Arabidopsis thaliana: one gene and its partners. The protein of the gene in region 1 interacts with the protein of each later gene in a biochemical or structural test. Each region holds a gene or a part of one and is shown in the gene's direction. Other genes may lie near its edges.

Region 1 (7,553 bases):
TAAAGAATCTTCAAGTTTGGCCCCTTTTAAATATGATTCATTACTGTGTTAAATAATACATTCTTTATGAATCATTCAAAGAATTACCTATTTATTAATGCTGAAAAGGAACAATCATTAGAGAAGTTAACAAAAGAAAAGATAATTATTAGTCCACACTATTAGTTTTTGGTATTTTATGATCCCTAATAATAAAAGTCATGTGATGCACATGGACTGAAGCATTTCCACGGTTCTTCGTGACCCTTCGTTCTTCCCTTGGTTTCCTTTGGGTTTGTTTATTAACTAATTAATAATTATTTCATTTCAAAAGCTATAGTATCTTATTTTAAAAAATATAGTATCATATTATCAGAAAATGAACAAATAATTTTGCTTCTATTTATTATTTAAATTAGTACGAATAACTAAGACTGTCTTTTGGTAAAATTATTATTTGATCTCGTTACAATAATTTCTGTGTAATCATATTTAGTTGTCAATTGTCATAGGCTCATGATACATTTTCAAGTAAGAAACAAATTAAAGAGAACATTTTGCTATTAATATAAGTATAAAAATCAGAATATTTAAAAAACTGTAAATTTTTTTTTTTTTTTTGAGAAAATATGCAATACATGTATGATGAATTGTTGGTCAAATGGGTGTTAAGAGCAGAATGATAAGATTGTTGTTGTGATTCTTAATAAAAATGATAATACTATGTTAATGGATCCACAAAAATACCGATGATTAAGAGTATTCTCTTAGTATACACACTACAAGAAAATAGGCGATTTGCGAGGGAAATTTGCGGTGGAAAACATCCCTCGCAATTTGCTACGGATTTGCAAGTGTATTACGAGGGAAGAAGAGAACTTCGCGAATCCCTCGCAAAATTTGCGACGAATATATCCCTCGCAAATCTGCGAGACGTTTGCGAGAAGTCTGCGTGGACCGCACCAATCCCAGCAAACTCGTCGCAAAATTGCGAGGGAGTTACGGGTAAACAGAATTCCTCGCAAATTGCGAGACGTTTGCGAGTAATATACGTGGAAAGCATCAATCCTCGCAAACTCATCGCAAAATTGCGAGGGATTTACGAGTAACCAAAATCCCTCGCAAATTGCGACGAGTTTGCGAGGATCGATTATTCTGTCGCAACTTTTGCGACAGAGTAGCGAGTCTTGGCGGGTTAGGTGAACATGTTTTTAATTATCTTACCAGTCTGGTTGGTAGGTGGGATTCCCTCGCAAATTTCAAGCAAAATCCTAGCAAATCCCTCGCAAATGCCTTGCAAATCCCTCGCAATTTTTTTTTGGGACATCTATAAATAGCCAATGAAATGTGTAAGAAATCATAACTCAAATCACAACATTTACTTACAAACAAAAAAAAATATTTTTTTTAAAAAAAAACTTATTACAAAAATAAGAATGTCTTGGGGCGGAGAGCATGAGATTTACACATTACGAAGTTGGATGTATAATCATAGAGATCAAGCGACCGGGGAGGTGACGAGAGAGTATTACGACGGACTGCGCGGTTTCATGTATCAAGCGACAAACGAACCATTTGTTCGTGAGAACGGTACAATATTCTGTTCATGTCGTAAGTGTCTCAATGAGAAATATTTGGAATTTAATGTAGTGAAGAAGCATCTTTATAATAGAGGATTTATGCCAAACTACTATGTATGGTTACGTCATGGAGATGGTTGTAGAGATAGCGCAGGAACTAGTAATACAAATTGTGGTGTCGAGCAACCTAGTAATTTTAATAATGATGCGAATTATGGTCAGGAAGTACCTGATCAATTTGGTTATGGGCATAACTAGGAAAATAGATTTCATGATATGGTTACAGATGCATTTCATGAAACTATTGCTTCATTTCCTGAAAATATTAGTGAAGAACCCAACCTAGATGCTCAACATTTTTACGATATGTTAGATGCTGTAAATCAACCACTCTACGAGGGATGTAGAGAAGGACATTCTAAGTTATCTTTGGCATCTAGGATGATGACTATTAAAGCTGATAATAACTTAAGTGAAAACTCTATGGATTCATGGACAGAATTAATTAAGGAATATGTTGTGTCTTTGTGTTTTTGGCCTGATTCAGTTGTGTTGTTGGTCTGAATAATATCATTGTATTTTCGGCCTAAGAGTTTTGCATTATGTCTATATGTTTCGACTTTGCTTTGATCATGTTTGCTTGTTTTGGTTATGAGTTTGTGACAGGTTGCTCCTAAGAAGAAAGGCAGGATTTATGGGGCTGGTTCATTGCAGCATGAGGCGTCTTCGGCGCATGCCGGACCGGTGCTTCCTCGAGATGATCCGGTTGTGCTTTCCCAGAAGCTGGCTGCTGTTGAAGCCCTCATTGCAAACCAGGCTGAGAAGATCACCAGTTTTGACGCATACTTTGATTACCTTGCCAAGAAGGATCCAGAGTTTGCTGCCTTGTTTCGAGTCAGATCCTCTTCAAGAACTGAACCAGTCAGCTCCAATCCACCTGATGCGCCTAATGCCACAACTGCTGGGATCGGACCTGAAGCTGTCGAACCTGAGGCTGTTGTAGCTAACCCAAACACTGGGTCATCTCCATCTGAGGCTTTCTAACATTCTGTATTAAGTTTCTTTTTCACTCATCAAAACTTGAATCTTTTGTTGGTTTGTTATGTAAAATTATTTGGCCTTCTAACATTCTGTATTCAGTTTCTTTTTCTGTACTTGAAACCTAAAATTTCAGCTTTTAAATATGAGTTTAAGGTTTCTTAATTAGTATTCAACTTCAAAGTTTAGTATAAAAATCCAATTAAGATAACCATTAAATATTGTTAAGTAGAACAGTAATCCCTATATTCAACAGTAATCATGCTTAAAACAAAACAGAAAAGAGTCGCTTATTTACCGCGAATCCATCGCAAACTTTACTACGGATTTGCGACTACAGATAAAAGCCACGCAAATCCATCGCAAATTTTGCGAGGCATTAGCGGGACAAAGAATTTGCGACTACTTTGCTACTGAAGTATTCCCTCGCAACTTGCGAGGAAAGAGCGAGGCTACTGTTGCAGCTAATATGCTACCGAGTACGTCCCTCGCAAATTGCGTGTGCTTCGCGAGTCTGGTCGTCCGTCGCAACTAGCGAGAAACTTGCGAGACCCGAAATTTGCTGTGAATTTGCTACGGATTGCTTCCCTTGCAAATTGCGTGTGTTTTGCGAGGCAACTTGTTCCTCGCAACATTTGCGAGGAACTTGCTACGAATTTGATTTTACGACGCGCGTTTTGCGAGGAACTGGAGTTCGTCGCAATTCCCTCGCTAAATGCTTTTTGCGAGAGACTAGCGACGGTTTCTTCCCTCGCAACTGGCGTGTTTTCTTGTAGTGACATCTACTTGAAGATTTAAAGCTTCGCTTTATTTATACGTTTGAAATCGATGCAAATGCAATTTTTCCAACCATGCAAAAGTTTACGCATGCAAGCACCTACAGTTATGAAGCAATTTCAAAGAACCCACCAAAGACAGAAGATATTAGATACGAAATACATATTTCAAATAAAATACTAGATTGACGATTGCATATATAAGTTTTTGTAAGTTTCTTGTACCATTGTACATAACTCATAAATATTGTCTCTAGATAATTAAGTATGTCTTATCGGTCAAATTCTATATCTTAAAAATAAGTAAGATTACTCATTAACTGCATACGAAAAAAAATTTAAACCACTCATTTCAATCGGATTCGAAATATAGGATAATCCACTTCATTTATATGTCTTTAACAACGACTATGACACGAAAGAAAATTATAAAGTAAACGAACTATTTATTATTGTAATAATTATAAGTCATCACTAATCCATAATAAATCGGATATCTATTCATTAAGAAGAGCATATATTAAAATAGTTTATACAAAAATATCCACACTGTATTATATTCGACGTTTGGACATTATCCAAAAGCTAGATTTAAGACAAAAGTCGCAAGTACCCATAAACCTTGGGGGGCAAATTGGAGTTTTCGTACAACGATAATCAGACTCCACTTATCCGCTTTTTTCAATTATCACAATAAAAGAAACGAATAATAATAATATTTTAATAATTTGTTCTGTTCTGTTCTTCATCTCATAGATCTCTCCTCTCTACACTTTCTTCTACAAAAGTGAGCAAATAAACTTGCCTCTTCGTCTGCTTCGTGAGATTTCAGATCCTGTAAAGAAATTTTATTAGCTCAAAAGAATCATTTTTGGGTTTCTGAACCATAAAAGCTTCTCTCGACTTTCAAAAACTCTCTCCTTTTTCCTTTTAGCCATTTCAAGCAGAGAGATTGATCGAAGAAGATAAAAACCTCGTCTTTCTTCAATCTCAGTGATTCTCAAATTACCCATCGCTTCCTTCTTTTGATCTCTTTGATTTCACTTCAAAAAGCAAAGAAATCTCGATTAGGTTATTCCTTGTTTCACCCCATAAATTTGCCTCCTTTTTTTTGGTCTCGGGAACTACTCTGATTTGTTTCAATCGATTCTGGATTTCGGGATTTGGATATAGAGCTCTCTGTTTTTGACATTGCCTTTGGAACTAAAATTCTCAGTCTTTGCATTTTTTTGATTCAAAAGCTCACTAAGTTTGGGTTTCAGAAGCTATTACATTTGGTCTTCGTAAGCGTCCTTTGAATGCCCTGTAGCTGAAGATGCAGCCTGATCACCGCAAAAAGGTCCAATTTTTCAATCTCTTATGTATCAGATTTGCTTATTAGAACTGATTAGGATCTGTAGCAATCCTTTTTACTGTTACTGCCTTTTAGTTTAGTCCTAATCTTTCTCTGTATTGAAGCTTTTGATATTGACAATAGATTTTTCTGTATATTCAGTCATCAGTTGAGGTAGATTTCTTCACGGAATATGGTGAAGGAAGCAGATACAGAATAGAGGAAGTGATTGGTAAAGGAAGTTATGGAGTTGTCTGTTCTGCTTACGATACACATACCGGAGAGAAAGTTGCGATTAAGAAAATCAATGATATCTTTGAGCATGTTTCGGATGCAACTCGCATTCTTCGTGAGATCAAACTTCTTAGACTCTTACGCCATCCTGACATTGTTGAGATCAAACACATCTTGTTGCCGCCTTCAAGAAGAGAGTTTCGAGACATTTACGTGGTTTTCGAGCTTATGGAATCTGATTTGCATCAGGTTATTAAGGCAAATGATGATTTGACTCCTGAGCATTATCAGTTTTTCCTCTATCAGCTTCTTCGTGGCCTCAAGTATATACACACAGGTTAAGCTAGCGAGCAATAAAATTTCATTGATTAGTATAAGTTTATGATTATCTTTCTGAAAATACTTTTTTTTTCTCTTCCTTTCAGCTAATGTCTTTCATCGGGATCTTAAACCCAAAAACATATTGGCAAATGCTGATTGCAAACTCAAGATCTGTGATTTTGGACTTGCAAGAGTCGCATTCAATGATACACCGACTGCGATATTCTGGACTGTGAGTAGTAGTAATTTAAATGCTTACTCTTTACAAGTTTACTCTTTTTGGTATGAAACCAATTTTTTATTCCTACTGCTTTCTGATCGCAGGATTATGTAGCTACTCGATGGTACAGGGCTCCAGAACTATGTGGATCTTTTTTCTCAAAGGTGACCATGATTTTGTATATATACTTTCATCGAATGTTTCAAATTTTCATAGGGAATCTAGTCAGTAGACACTATAGCTCTCTCATTCAGATTATAAAATTTTATGGTAACATTTTTTTTCTTTATCTATGCTTCTGTTCAGTATACACCGGCAATAGATATATGGAGCATCGGGTGCATTTTTGCAGAACTCTTAACAGGGAAACCTCTTTTCCCCGGGAAAAATGTGGTCCATCAATTGGATCTGATGACGGATATGCTGGGAACTCCATCTGCTGAAGCCATTGGAAGGGTATGTGTTCCTTTCCACAATGCTTAAGCATTGTTTCTTTTTTTGGCTGAATTTCTTACACTGAAACAGGTTAGGAACGAGAAAGCTCGAAGATACTTGAGCAGCATGAGGAAGAAGAAGCCTATTCCTTTTTCACATAAGTTCCCACATACTGATCCTCTTGCTCTTCGTCTTCTAGAAAAGATGTTGTCTTTTGAACCCAAGGACCGGCCTACAGCTGAAGAGGTGGTTCATACATTTCGTTCTTTACACTCCTTATGATGTAACTTTGGTTATAGCTAACTAAATGGTTTTATGTGTTACCTCAGGCGCTTGCAGATGTGTACTTCAAGGGTTTAGCTAAGGTTGAAAGAGAGCCTTCTGCTCAACCTGTCACAAAGTTGGAATTTGAGTTTGAAAGGCGGAGGATCACAAAAGAAGACGTCCGAGAGCTCATATACAGAGAGTCTCTGGAGTACCACCCAAAGATGCTGAAAGAATACTTGGATGGATCAGAGCCAACTAACTTTATGTACCCGAGGTACCGGCCTGAGCTGACCTGCTTCATACTATACTCCTGTGTATTATCCATGTTCTTATGGTTAATGTATTATTCATTCTGCAGTGCGGTGGAACATTTCAAGAAACAATTTGCTTACCTCGAGGAACACTACAAGAATGGTACTTCTCATAATCCCCCTGAGAGGCAACAGCATGCATCATTACCAAGGTATGCTTTACGTCCTTTAAAAATTTGATCATTTGGGATTCTTTCGAAACAGCTCAACAAAGCCTCTTTTTATGTTTTGCAGGGCTTGCGTATTGTACTCTGATAACAATCATCCGGTGGCACAACAGAGTTCAGCTGAAGTCACTGATGGACTCTCCAAGTGTAGCATTAGAGACGAGAGACCTCGGGGTGCAGACAGGAATGCCCAGATGCCAATGTCGAGAATTCCTATCAACGTCCCTCAAACAATCCAAGGTCTCTCACCCTCTCTGTATATAATGTTATGATGCAGAATAACTCTGTCTCCTGAACATTTATCTGGTTGTAATGAAGCAGGTGCTGCAGTAGCTAGGCCTGGTAAAGTAGTTGGATCAGTGTTACGCTATAACAACTGCGGCGCAGCCACAGGCGTTGAAGCTCTTGAACAACAACAGAGAAGGATGGTCAGAAATCCAGCTGCTGCGTCTCAATACCCAAAGAGGACTCAACCTTGCAAAAGCAACAGAGGAGATGAAGATTGCGCCACCGCTGCTGAAGGTCCAAGTAGATTGAAGCCAAACACTCAGTATATACCACAAAAAGTGTCTGCAGCACAAGATACTGCAATGAGTCGCTGGTATTAAACATGATGTTATGGTTCTAGTTTTAGCTTTACCACCTCACGTCTCAGGGAGAGCTAAAAAGAGTATCCCTTTGAGTCATCCATTGTGTTATCAAGAGCCGAAACGTGAAGACATGCTTAAGAGCGAAATGAGAGAAGGAAGCGTGAGAAGATAAAAGAAGTTCTTACAGATCCTGTCATGTAATTTGTCTTCATAGTTTTGTATTCTTAAAACAACCTTTGTTTATCTACGTTGTAACACTTACACTGTCTACGATTCTTATATCCCATGAACTCAATCTGTTT
Region 2 (7,553 bases), on another chromosome or scaffold:
AGACTTTTCCTGCACTTTTCAATCTATTTCATCAGGTTTTTTTAAACAAACAAGAATCTTTTTTATCTTTTATTGTTTTCAATGTCACTTGTTTTTATTTATTTGATGTGTTTATTGGTTTTACATGAGCACAGGGATTTCTTAATCCAGATGAAGTTCATATATTTGGATATGCAAGGAGTAAGATTACTGATGAGGAGCTTAGAGATAAAATCCGCGGGTTAGATGATCCGATCCGGTCCGCCTTTTTGTTGCATCTGACACAATGAAAAGCTTATATTATCATGTTTTATGTAGATATCTTGTTGATGAGAAGAATGCATCTAAGAAAACAGAAGCTTTGTCCAAGTTTCTAAAGCTGGTTAGTCTGTTTCATTTACACAGTTATAGTCCCGTTTGTTTTTGGTAACTGAAAATACAATTTTCTTGTATAGATTAAGTATGTGAGTGGACCTTATGATTCTGAGGAAGGGTTTAAGAGATTAGACAAGGCGATTTTGGAGCACGAGATATCTAAAAAGACTGCTGAAGGATCTTCGAGGAGATTGTTTTATCTTGCACTTCCTCCGTCTGTATACCCTCCTGTAAGCAAGATGATCAAGGCATGGTGCACTAACAAATGTGAGTTTACTGTTAGATTTTGTTAACATTATTAGATAGAGAATATTTGGTAATAACTTCATTGGAAATGTATATTGTTTCCAGCTGATCTTGGTGGATGGACTAGGATTGTTGTTGAGAAACCATTTGGAAAGGATTTGGAATCTGCAGAGCAGCTGAGTTCTCAGATTGGAGCCTTGTTTGAAGAACCACAGATTTATCGTATTGATCACTATCTGGGAAAAGAGTTAGTTCAAAACATGGTAACACATATTTGCTTCTAGTCATTAGTTTATTAATTTAGACAAATAAAGATATAATCTAACGCATTCATCGTTAGTGCAGTTGGTTCTTCGGTTTGCCAATCGCTTGTTTTTGCCACTATGGAACCGCGACAATATTGCAAACGTACAGGTGAGAGTTTGATCGCTTAGCACAAATATTTCTAAACTTTTGTATAGAGTTGAATCCATCCACATAAATCTCTAATTTCTTTTTGCAGATCGTTTTCAGAGAAGATTTTGGAACTGAAGGTCGCGGTGGATATTTTGATGAATACGGGTAAGCTTTTCTCAGTGTTTCATTTGAATATGATATACATGAGACAGAAGTATCATTGCATTCTGATGACTTGTATATATAATCTTCTATTTTTCAGAATCATTCGTGATATTATTCAAAACCACTTGCTCCAGGCAAGTGTTTACATTTGAAATATTTGTCTGTTGTGAAGAAAAACATGAAATTTCCTTGTTGAAAGCCACCTCCATATGACATTTTTCCTTGTTTTTCCTTGCTTGTAACTGCAGATACTTTTATGTATTAACTAAGTTTAGTGTACCACAGGTTCTTTGCCTTGTCGCCATGGAGAAACCAATCTCTCTTAAACCCGAGCACATCCGGGATGAGAAAGTGAAGGTGATTACAGTTTTCTTGATCACATCTTTAGTTTCAAACTTTTGTAGAATCAAGTGATATCTTCATTTGCATTTTCAGCCAATTAATATTAATAACAACTGACTGATTTCTTAAATGAACTTCAGGTTCTTCAATCTGTGATTCCCATAAAAGATGAAGAGGTGGTTCTTGGACAATATGAAGGATATAGAGATGATCCAACTGTTCCAAATGACTCAAACACTCCAACGTTTGCCACAACAATTCTTCGCATTAACAATGAAAGATGGGAAGGTACTGTGTGCATGTGTCCCCTTCACTCTTCATCTTTTCATTTTCTAGATCAAGTTTGGAACATCATGTGCCAAAATCCCTTTTTAGTTGTAGTGGTTAGTAACTTGTGTATTGATGTATCTCTCAGGTGTTCCTTTTATACTGAAGGCCGGAAAGGCAATGAGTTCAAAGAAGGCAGATATTCGCATTCAGTTTAAAGATGTTCCTGGCGACATATTCAAATGTTTGTATCGAGACCAAATCAAACCTTCCCAAATACTTGAAATTTGGTTGGTCTAACCTCTCATGCAATGCAACAGGTCAAAACCAAGGGAGGAACGAGTTTGTTATACGCTTGCAGCCTTCAGAGGCCATGTACATGAAGCTAACTGTAAGTACCTGATGAACCAACCATAATCTACGATACTATAAGAAAAAAGGAGAGACTCACTTTTGTTCATTCATTTATTCATTCAATCTGAAGTTTTTGGCTTTGCTGCGCAGGTGAAGCAACCGGGTCTGGAGATGCAAACCGTGCAGAGTGAACTAGACCTATCGTACAAGCAGCGTTACCAAGATGTCTCAATTCCAGAGGCTTACGAACGCCTTATTCTTGACACGTAAGAATCTAGTAACAATAGTTCTGTATATCAAAACCTTCATTCATCTCATTAGTTGACCCTTATTGTGTATCTCTCTGCAGAATCAGAGGCGACCAACAACACTTTGTTCGCAGAGACGAATTAAAGGTAATTTTACCTTTCTACTTCACCACTTAGAACCCCTGGATACTTCACATCACTCAACTTTGTTTGAAACTTCCACAATCTGATTTTTACCATATATTGAGAAGATCTTTAAACACATATATGTATGTGATCAATCACAAAACAGGCAGCTTGGGAAATCTTCACTCCACTGCTTCACAGGATCGACAAGGGAGAAGTGAAATCGGTCCCATACAAACAAGGTAGCCGTGGCCCAGCGGAAGCAGATCAGCTACTTAAGAAAGCTGGTTATATGCAGACTCATGGCTACATTTGGATCCCTCCTACATTGTAAATGGTATAATCATAGAGATGATGATGATGAGTACACACAAAATAAGAGGGTTTTTTTTCTTTTTTTTCCTTGCTTGCTGAATAAAAACTCTTCACCAGTTTGGAGTTTGTTTAAGTGAATCTTATGTATACTAGTGATCTTCACTAGGACATTGTTTGTTTATGCCTTGTAGTTTTTGTTGTACTAGTCCCTTGTTTTCTTTTTTTACATAATGCAAAACAGCTTTGTGGAAAAGCTAATTAAATTAAGAGATCTTATTCTGCTTAATAGAGGATTGAATCTCATGAATTCGACGTATACACACAGAATAACTGCTCTTGTTATTAAAAGAGAAATTGAACTAGATAGAATTTTAATTAAGAAATTGGCAATAATACTTACTAAAATAAATTAAAACACGACGAAAAAAAAAAAAAAAAAAAATTAAAACACATTACGACTGTTTCATTCTCTTTCATTTTAAATGATGTTTAACTTTTTTGACCGCAAATCTATATATACATTTTTGCAGCCATTTTGTGAAATAAATCCTGCAATTAGAACTTATTTACAATGGCTGCCACTGACTTATTAAATGCAAAAATTAACTACCAAATCAAAGCAAATCTTATTCAAAAGAATATGCTTTTATTTCATGGCCTAATTATTTTTGTCAAAATAGTTAAAATATTTAAAAATTAAATAACCATTTGAAAGAAAACTTTAAATTGATTTAAATTATAAATTTTTTAATAAAAATATTATTAAAAAAAATAAAAAAATAATTTCACCGAACATGATTAGATAGTAGGACTAGATGGTAGGACGTGTTTATAATATTATAATATATAAACTTTATAATAATTAAATAACCATTTGAAAAAAAACTTTTAAATTGATTTGAATTAAATATTTTTTAAACTAAAGTATTATTAAAACAAAAATAACAAAATAATGTCTAATTTTACTGAACGGGGTTTGTGGTAGGAAGGGTTTGGTCGATAGTATTACGAGACGGTATACCACAAGTGAAATCTATTAGATATGTTTAATTTCAATATGCAGGATTAGATGGTATGACGAGTTTTGATCGATAATAATACGAAACGATATACTACGGATGAAATCCTAGATATAACAACTAAAATCTATATATACATTATCTTAAACACTAAACAAAGCAAACAATATTAATAAAACAAATATTTACATATACATTTTATATAACAAATTTTATTAAAAACCTAGCCCCGCGGTATACCGCGGGTCAAAATCTAGTGATGTTTAACTGTTTAAGGGTTCTAGTTAATTTAAGGGTACAAAGTTAAACATCATTTAATAAGCTGCTTCCATTGGTTCTAGTTAATTTATTTACTCACGAAAATACCAAATTTTAAAATAAAAGTATATTCATAAATATTTAAAATAAAAGTATAATTATTTAACAACAATCAAGAAGTCATTCACTTAATTAAATTATCAAATCTTGCCCTTTAACAAAAATTCCTTTATTAAAAAGTGCAAAATCTATAATAAGTAAATAACTTCTTAATTTTTGTTCACAAAATGGCAAATTACTTAATACAATAGTTAATCAATAGGATTATGGACAAGGAATAAAACTAATAACCCAAAAAAATAGAAGATCCTGCAAATTTGAAAAGATTATAAATTAGAAGATCTGACTTATAAAGAAAAAAAAAAGAGTGAATGAAAATATCTAATTTAGAGACGTAATCATTAATTAGAATTTAAAAAGAAGAAAAAAAACTCATTAATTATTTGTTCTTATTAAATTAGAAGTTATAGTTAGACACGCGCCAAAATCGCAACAGAGTAAAAGCCCTAAAAAAAGTCATCTTCTTTGCAATTGAAACTCTTTCTCTGATTCCTTCTTCTTCTTCTTCCTCTTCCTCTCGAATCCTTTCTCTTTCCTTTTTCCCGCTGATTACGCGATCCCGTTCCTTCTCATTCATTCATTCATTCATTCATTCTCTCGCCGTTTTTTTATATATTTATTTCATTGGATCTGTTTCAGATTTCGATTTCCTTAATTCATTGAGAGATTCGTTAATGGAGGTTAATTACGAAAGGCTTCGAGGTTCTTATAACGATTACAGAAAATTAGAATTGGGTTTAGGCGAATTTGGGGATGATTTTGTGGGTTTGCCTGATGATCCTTTTTGTATGAACATTAGATCGACTTTGAATTCAATCTCAGATTGGTTTCATGAGAATCAGATTGGTTTAGTCTCAGAAGATCATACTTTGCCTGAGGATCCGTTTTGTATGAGAGTTAGATCGACTTTGAACACAATCTCTGATTGGTTTCATGAGAATCAGAAAGAAATTGGTGTTGTTGATCAGATGTTGTTCGAGACTCTAAGTTGGTTTTATAATAATGATGATGATGATGGTGATGATGATGATGATGGTGGTGGTGGTGGTGAAGCTCATGACGCGTTTGAGTTGGTTCTTCCATATCTAGAGTTGAAAGAGATTCTTGCGGTTGAAGTAGTTTGTAGGTCTTTGCGTGATTCGGTTGGAAAGGAACCTTTTTTCTGGACAAGTATTGATCTTAATGACTCATTTCTTCAATATAGAGTTACTGATGAGTCTCTTTTGAAGTTAACACGCCGTGCTCTAGGCGGTGTTCGATGTTTGAATCTTGGAGGATGTGTTGGTATCACTGATTATGGCTTGAAGCAAGTTCTTGCTAGCAATCCACATCTTACTAAGGTTAGTTTGATCGAATGATGGAACCAATCTTGTTATATGATTCTGTGTTGTTTGTTCATGTGTGTCTGTTTTTTTGCAGCTGAGTGTATCTGGTTGTCTTAGACTAAGCACAGCAGGACTAGTGTCAACTTTAAGGGACTTAAAATCTTCAAACCGTCTTGGAGTCAAAAGCCTAATCACTGGTGGGGCGTTGTATTTCACAAAGGAGCAGTTTAAAGAGCTCAACTTATTGCTAGGAGGAGATGCTAAAGTGGGTTTACAAGAGAGGAAGAAGAGATTCTATACGTCTTGTAGATCAGAATTCTATTTAGAGGATGATCGAGTTACTGACCTCGAGATATGCCCCTGGTGTGAGAAACCAAGTCTGGTATTTGATTGTCCAGCAGATACATGTCCATTGAAGGGTCAATATCCTTATTCTAAGTCATCTTGCAGAGCTTGCGTTGTCTGCATAGAACGTTGCCATGAGTGTGGGAGTTGCTTAAATGACTGTGAAAACAAGCCGTTCTGTTTTGCATTCAGCTGTGTGGTATGCATTGAGAAGAGGTCTAACCGCTTATAATAGTTTATTTGAAGTCAAAACCGAAGCTTAACACATTACTTTGATCCTCAATACACTGTTTTCTGAAGAATGAAGAGTCTTGGTGCTTGAGGTATCAAACCTAAGTCAATAAGAAGAGCTGCAACAAAAAATGGAAACATGATAAGACTCAGAAGGGTGTTTAGTCTTCATCTACAGCATCATGAAAGATCTGAGCTAAACTTGATTCTGCAACGGACTCGAGTCAAACTTGATCATGAGAGATGAAGAGAAGCAAAGACTAGAGCTTTACTTGAAAGTTGAAGCACCAGGATTCAAATGGGAAATAAGTAGAACTTACAAGAAAAGAGAAGAGAATAAAGAATATATCAGAGTTATTTTACATTATCATTAATTAGTCTTTTAATCTCCTCCATATGTAGCTTTTGTTAAATGACTTGTATAATTTTCAAAATGGATCAATCTCTTATCAATCCACTCCTGCTTGTACATTCCCTGGAAACATGAGCCCATGATCACAAACTTTCATTGCAAGATCTCCCAACCATCCTCACTAGTCACTTCATCCAAACCTAGTTTACTTAATAATACCTCTCATATTCCAATACTTATTCGCAGTTTGTACATCCAGTGTATAATGCATAATATCATGTAGGTAATTATTACGTTTAAATAACATATTTTTAATAAAGAAACATATCAAAGTTATATGAAAAAAGAGAATTATGATATAAATTAATAATGAATGTTTCTTTTCATTAAACAATTTCATAGGCATTTTTTACGGATTATCTCTCATTTCTTCTTCTATTTTTAGAAATAATAATTCCTGATATATAGCAATATGACACTTAGATTTATTATTCATAAAACACTCTATTAACAAAGAAAAATAAAAACTTATAAAAGGAAAAACAAAATGTCTAAAAGTTTGATTTATAATGATAGATGCTTAATGCAACAAAAAAAAAAGGTGTTATTTGCGGTTAAACTTTTGGTTTATAAATTACAAGATATACAAATATTGAAAAAATGGAACTTCTTATACTCATTTAAAAAAAAAATTAAGGAAATTTGTCAAAATTGTAATTTAGCTGTAAAATAAATCACTACAAGGAGATAAAATCGTAAATAATATTAAATCTTCTACCAAATATATTTTCATTGAAAAAAAACAAAAATATGCATATATAATCAATACGATATAAATACTTGTAATTGATCGAATTATTGTATTAGGAAAAGCAATGAATTGGGAATTGTGTGATGATTATCCAAGCAAAGCACCGCCAGAGACGTGTAATAAGGTAGACGGTGCTAGGAGGTGCCGAACGAGTTGTAACAACGAAGGTTATGGTGGAGCAAATTGTAATTTGAAGGGAAAAGTTAAAGTTTGTGAATGCACTATACTTAGAGTTTGTCTACCCCACCACAAGAGGCCACCGCATGTACCGAAGCCACC
Region 3 (7,190 bases), 9.7 Mb from region 1:
GCCCTTCGGAAGTTTCATATAACACTAGACCTACACCGAATTTCAACCTCAATCTTGGTCCACATAAATGGAAAGTTCTAGTCCTATTTCCCCTAATTTGAAAGTTAGAAACCTCAAACACACAGGTCGTTATAAACCAATTAAAAAAACGTTTATGTGTTTTGAGGTTTCGAACTTTCAATTTAGGGAGAAATAGGATTAGAACTTTCTATTTGTGTGGACCAAGATCGAGGTTGGAATTCTGTGTAGTTCTAATGCTATATGAAACTTCCGAGGGGGACACAGGTCGTTCACCCAATTCTCTTCTTTTGTGTATTTTTCTCATTATATGGCATCAAATATAGAGAAGAAAAAAAATAGATTCACTAATCTGTTAGCGAATAAGGCTTATCTACGGAAAGTATCGTCAAATTCTCTTCTTTTGTATATCGTTCTCATCATACAGTAGGACACAAATATATGCTTATGTAATAATTTGTTTTTTTTATAGTTTTTTTTGTCATTCGAAATTAATTAAAACTCAAACGAACCAATCCTAATGGGATATTGTTTACATGTTTTTTTTATAGTTTTGTATAATAACTTTGTAATCTCGATTGATATCAATGGATTTTATTAAAGGGTAATTTGCAGGGCACACCCTTTGACCATGTTTTATTTTCAGGGATTGCAAAAGTGAAAGGTGGTTTTCACGTTTTGTCTTTTCAACTGAAATTTGACCATTTTGCCCTTGCTGCTACAGATGAGAAATTGTTGAATGTATGGTTTAGTTAGTCAGGTTTAGTTAGGTACACTGTTCCGGTTTAGTTAGAGATATTTTTGTTTCACGTTGAGGAGCGCGCTTTACAGTTAGAAGGGAGATTTTTTCATTATAAACGAAATGACATCAACATTTAATGGCCCAAAAAGTTTAGACGTGACTCTTGTTATAATTAATGCAAAATCATCATTACATGTTATTATATTATAAAATTATTGATAATAATTGTTGAGTTAAAGATGAACCCAGGAACAAACATTAATTGCGAACGTACATTGATGCTCAAGAAGTGTTGATCTTGTTTATTTACGAAGTTTGGAGCCAAGATAAGCATTATCGTGTAAGTAATGAAGTTTTAAAGATTTTTTTTGTTATAACACGCTATGATCTTCATTGTATTCGAAATCAACTTTGTTTTTTTATAGAAAAACCCAAAAAAATTTTATTTCCAATTTTGTTGGTTGAAAATGCTAAATGTGTAAATATATATGTTTATAAGTGTGTACAATCATGTTTTCAGTTGCATTTAATGGGTTTCTCCTGAATTTATGATGCAGTTGGGTAATGGATATTCCCGTATTTACTATGGTCGGTGAGTGGAGATGCAAATAAGAAAAATGGAAATTTGAACCAAAGGAAGACATGTTTGGTCGCTGTGTACGTGTTAAGGAAAACAGGACGTACACAGAATTTGTACGTACACTAAGCGAGGCTTTCAGTTTGAAATCCATAGAGATCAATCCCATAATTAGTTACTGGATGCCGGGAGAGATGTTAGTGCTGATAGATACTAAACGCCCTCCTGTCTACATTGACAGTCAAGTGGGGTTGGATACGTTCTTTTTAATTCGTGGTCGGTATCCTTCTCTCAATTTGTTTGTCTCTTTCATTACAACCGTCAAGACACCCGATAATAATGTCTCTAGGACTCATGGTGATGATGCTGAAAGTGACCGTGTATGTGATAGTGTTTCAAATGTTGATGAAAATAATGAGGCCGTAGATGAGAAAGACGACGATGAAGACGATAAAACAAATGAGGATGAAGAGGAGGGGGACAACAAAGATGGTGGTGGGTATGATGATTATCAGGGTGACGATGGATCTATAGGGGGAAGTACCCTCGATCCTACTATTGATGGTAGTGAAAGTAGTGGCGAAGATTATGATTACAACAAGTGGAACGATGTAATTGTAGAAGAATATGGAATAGGGAATGTTGACGAGAACGTCATTCTCACACCAGGGGAATTCAGTCGTCTGTTGGCAGAGTGTACGTACACAAGTCAGCGTGTACCTGGCGGAGATAACATTTCTCACTCGGGTGACCGTACACCAGTTGTGACTCGAAGAAGTATGTGTCAACATGGTTTGTACCAATGTACCTACACTATAGATTGGGAAGTGTTTTTAAGAACAGAAAAATCATACAACAAACAATGTCTTATCTCAGCCACTGCCAATATTGGTTTAATATTGTATTAATAAATTTTTCTTAATAATTTCATTCACAAACAAAGATGTACGTATATTATTACACATGTACATACATTAATTTACCAACAAAAATGTACGTACATTATTTCACCATCTATTTTTATTTAATTATTATGTATGTATTGAGATTATTGAGATATAAGAATACGTAATAAAATAGTTTGAATTATTAGAAATCGTCTCATATATGTTCCATAAATAATTTCGTGTACGTACACAGAAAAAATTCGATGAAGGGTATAATTGTAATTTTCCAGTCATCTTCAACCTGTGTATCCTTTTCTGCAAACCTAATTTTGCGGCCGTCTTTATCAGTTTTCTCAAAATCTCATTTTTTTACGTTTTGATTACTATTTATAAATAAATCTTGTAAACTTAGAGTATCTTTAGTTTAAAAAGCTAAAGTGTTTGTATCTAGGAGCTTTTTTTTTGCATTTTGTTCATCTCTGAAAACAAGAAATTTGTTCCTCAATTTTGGAGTTCAATGGAGAGATGTCGAAATATGAAGGAGTGGATAATGAATTTTGAACTTCTTTCTACTTCTCTCTCGAATTACTCCGTCTCTTTCTCTTTTTCTTCTTCTTTGTTTCTTTGTTTCAGTGTTTTTTTTTTGTTTTTTTCAAAACTGAACCATTAAGGATAAACCAAAATCACAAAACCATTAAGGGTAAACCATTAAGTTTCAAAACAAAACCAGAAAAACTAAACCGAAATCAAGTGCTGTGTGATTTGGTTGCTCCCATTAAGGGTATTTTAGTCTGAAAACAACTGAAAAGACAAACGGTAAAAACCATATCTCACTTTGACAAACCATGAGAGCAATTCTTTTTTCATCCAGTGAAAATTTCTTTTTATTAAATCTATAAAATACGGAAATCAAATCTATACTCGTATTTCCTTTTCTTACCGATGAGCGTGAGTGGTTATGAAAACCAAATCTTTACTTCTACATCTATAAATATATGATTTTACTCTCCAAACCTAATACATTAGTTTCACTCTCTCAATTTTATTCTTCTTCGCCTTCGTGCTTTCTCTTAACTTTGAACGTGAAAAAAACAGAGAGTTTGTCTTCGAAACCAACAAGAAGATGACTATGCGATCATTACCTTTTTCCTCTTCTTCTTATTCACTCGCTTCCACAAGTTTGAGTAACAGACTTGAGACTATATTCAAGAAAGCTTCAGAGCTTTGCACTCTCTGTGATATCGAAGCGTGCGTCATCTATTACGGACCAGACGGAGAACTTAAGACATGGCCTAAGGAGAAAGAGAAAGTGAGAGACATTGCTCTGAGGTATAGTCAATTAAACGAAGCCTTGAGAAGCAAGAAAAGCGTTAATCTTCATGGGTTCCTGAACAAGAAGAAGAAGAAGAAGAAGAAGGGTTTGAAGAATCCGAACAATAAGAGGAAGACTTGTCTTAAGAAGAACGTGAATGTTTTAAAGTATCCACTCGCTGATCATTACCCTCCCGACCAAGTTTCTCAACTGACTCAGTCCTTAAAACTCCATGTCTCTAAATTCCAAGAAAGGCTTCGATTTCTTGAGTCGCAGAAACAGACAAAACCGGATCATCAGAGTTTAACACCATCCTCTTTGAATCATCAGACCCAATCTTTGAACCCTAGACAGTTTTCGCTGTTTATGTATAACCATGGAGACAATACTCTGTCTCAGATCTCAGTCTCTGCATCAAATTTCAATCAGAATTATTTCTCAGCGTTACTTGAACAATCTGAGTTGAAGAATCAGTTAATGAAGCAGGATGGTTATGATCAGAATCAGAACATGAGGATGGGTGACATCACCAACAACAATTTTCAACTTCCTTACTTCTCAAAGAAAGAAGCGGTACAAGAATCTGTGAACTACTTTGGGATGAATCAGTTGATGCTGAAGGAGTTATATGGTTGTGATCAAAACATGTGTATGGGTAACATCAATAGCAACAGCTTTCAACATCCTTGCGTCTCAAAGGCACAACATTACTCGGCGGTAGAAGGATCTGTCAATAACCAACGACAATCTGAGTTAATGCAGCAGGAGCTTTGTGGTTATGAGCAGAACATGTGCTTTACCAACAACAATTTTCAAGTCTCAAACAAAGAAGCGGTTCAAGAATCTGTGACTAATTTTGGGTTGATGCAGCATGAACTTTATGGGTGTGATCAAAACATGTCTATGGGCAACATCATTAACAACAGCTTTCAACAGCGTCTCAAACACAGAACAAGAATCTGTGAATAACCCCTGGTTGAATCAGTTGATGCAGCATGAACTCTATGGCTATGATCAATGGTGAAGTAGCGGAACAGAGATAGTGAAGCTGTTTTCTTGAGTCTTGATTCACTTGTTAATTTTTATTTTTGAGTACGCTTGTTAATCTGTAGAGATTTCGTTCTGAGTTTTAAAGTTACAACTTGTATTTTCGGTTTAGTTATTACATATATATGATATAAAAACTCGAGCAATCTTTAACTAACATGTTAAATTGAGGCACATCGACGAAACTCAAAACAACAAGCAATACAGTAGCAAGTAGCAGAAACAAGCAAAGCAATCAAACAATTGTGGTGATGAAACATGTAGTAAAGTAAGAGAAGCTTGCCTATTAGTAACATCCAATTAGAATTGTATCACAAAGTAGGGCAAGTAAATCATTTTTGACTAGTGTGTAACTTGTATACTATCTCCATCACTAATGTTCACTCTCATCTCTGAAAATTATGATGGTGTAATAAGAGAACAATAATAAATTCTTCAAACAAAAAATATCCTCGAATTTAAAATCTTCCAACGCAACTAAAATTTGAAAACAAAAACTGACTGTTTTAGTCTGAAACACACATAAGTAAAGGCGTGAGACAAACAAGCTGGAAAGGTGATTTACTCTGCATCTTCATGTCATCACCAGTCACCAGATGCTCCGTTCAATGCCTTAACTCTCTCGATCAACTTGTTCTTCCTCTCTTCGTACGTCAGTTTCTTCAAGTCGTACCTGTTTTGTTTGATATCACAATCAATCAAGAACCAAGTGAGACACACCAATCACAACAAGAAGATTAAAGCCAGTAATGATTATTTGTTTTACCTCTTGTGTTCCTTGGTAGCTGGTTTCTCGGTTTTCTTATGGTTGGGTTCTGCTCGGATAGCTGCGTGAACCTTCTTGTACATCTCCTCGATGCTCTCAGCTTCAACTCCTTTCTTAATGTAAGCACTGAAGAGAGTTTGTAACTTCTCTGGCTCATATTCCCCCAACAGCTTCATGTAGTTTGAGACGTGGCCACCGTAGATGTAGTTACTGTGGATTTTATATGGTGCACCATTTTGCACTTGCAAGTGATCTTTGCTTCCGAGCTATGGTTACTTTTAAGAGCATTTTTGTATCAACCCAACCTCTGATCCTTGTTATGGTGTACACAATATGATGATAAAGCTGCCGAATTTGGACAAGGCTTATTGTTTATGTATTGCAATGAGAGAGGTAAGAAGTAGCTCTATGTATCATATGATTGTTGTTGTTAACCTATACTCAGCTAATAGACCAAAACTTTTCATTAATCATCCATAGATAACATAACTAAAAGCTAATTTTATATATTTCTGATTTCTCACTAGTCACTACGCATAATACATTCGTTGTTTTTGCTAAATATGAAATATCTATGAATTAAAGATTGAAAACAAAACGCGTTTACCAAATTACTATGCATTTTTAGATTAGGAAATATCTATGAATTAAAGATTATATCGTAAAACATTTGACATTATTTTCACATTTCGTTTTGGAGATAATGTTTTTGATATTGAGATGGACAAACATTTACAAAATATTTTTAGAATCTGGTTTCTAAGTGAGACTTTGCTTTTTGATTGTGAGCTAGACACGACTTAAAAAGTATTTATAGGCTTTAAGATTCAATGGAATTTCAACACAAAAATAGTTGCATTGGCTTCGGCCCAAGATGAGATCATCAAAATTACATTCGTTAGTATAGTATACATACATGCAACAATCAACCATGGTCCATGTATGCATAGCGAAAATCTAACAAAGAAAAATGAGTAAGGTTGCATATAAAATAAACGTTTTTAAAGAAAATTGGTTATTCTTATTTGCTATAAATACAAAGTTAGTGTATACGAAAATTTAAAACATGAATCAAACCAAATACGAAGGCAATTACTTCGAAATTGTATTTTGATATGCTTTTTACTAGTTTTGAGTTTTGACGCATAATTGTTTCTAAGTTGAGAGTGAAGTGTGAACAGAATGCGTCTCTACTCTCTACTTCCTGATTTCTTTTCTGAAGAAAATTGGCACAACGAATATTAACTTTAGAAAAAAGGCAAAAAGAGTAAGCAAAAAACTTGAAATAAACAGCCTATAACCACTCTTCAAAGGTTCAAAGTCTAAAGGTTGTGTCTTTCTCATCATTGATTACACGTATACACATACATATTGATACCAAATACATACACTACCTATACATAGACCTATCTGTAGTCTTAGCAACTAAGAATACAACTATTAATCTTAAAATGTTTTTTATTTTTGATAGAAAATACTAAAATTGTTTTACTTTCTCTTTTTATGTTATCATTTCTTTACTTTATTCCCATGCAATAAAAACAAAAGAGAAATTTCCAGTTATAAAAGTGTTAAGCTTTGAGCCTAGTGTAAGTCAATATATCTGTTCCCATCAATCTGAACTGCAACCTTATATATAGAGTCATGTATGTACACTTAAAACTCATTACACAATTTTACCCGTGAAAATAGTAATCACTTATGTTTTTATATAAATAAATATTTTAGTTTACTAGTTAATTAATACTTTTGTTTACTAGTCTAGCGAAATATCATGAGGAAACAAATAACATTTTAATATCACGATAAATAAACATTTCTAACATTGGGTAGACAATATA

Evidence for each region.
Region 2: of the proteins of MPK16 (region 1) and AT3G27290, one has a biochemical effect on the other in vitro, tested with the Arabidopsis thaliana proteins (one large-scale study listed by BioGRID).
Region 3: of the proteins of MPK16 (region 1) and AGL76, one has a biochemical effect on the other in vitro, tested with the Arabidopsis thaliana proteins (one large-scale study listed by BioGRID).

Annotation. Positions count from the first base shown.
Region 1 is NC_003076.8:6,344,812-6,352,364, reverse strand, and holds the start of MPK16 (mitogen-activated protein kinase 16), read left to right. Parts: upstream 1-4,097; 5' UTR 4,098-4,688; coding exon 4,689-4,712; intron 4,713-4,868; coding exon 4,869-5,277; intron 5,278-5,365; coding exon 5,366-5,493; intron 5,494-5,585; coding exon 5,586-5,645; intron 5,646-5,787; coding exon 5,788-5,937; intron 5,938-6,006; coding exon 6,007-6,162; intron 6,163-6,245; coding exon 6,246-6,457; intron 6,458-6,541; coding exon 6,542-6,646; intron 6,647-6,728; coding exon 6,729-6,901; intron 6,902-6,982; coding exon 6,983-7,269; 3' UTR 7,270-7,553.
Region 2 is NC_003074.8:10,078,597-10,086,149, reverse strand, and holds AT3G27290 (RNI-like superfamily protein), read left to right. Parts: upstream 1-4,616; 5' UTR 4,617-4,884; coding exon 4,885-5,550; intron 5,551-5,629; coding exon 5,630-6,112; 3' UTR 6,113-6,688; downstream 6,689-7,553. Other genes in the region: G6PD5 (glucose-6-phosphate dehydrogenase 5), read left to right, coding at 1-35, 135-220, 298-361, 435-621, 706-863, 946-1,014, 1,103-1,161, 1,259-1,295 and 7 more.
Region 3 is NC_003076.8:16,048,532-16,055,721, forward strand, and holds AGL76 (AGAMOUS-like 76), read left to right. Parts: upstream 1-3,347; coding exon 3,348-4,505; downstream 4,506-7,190.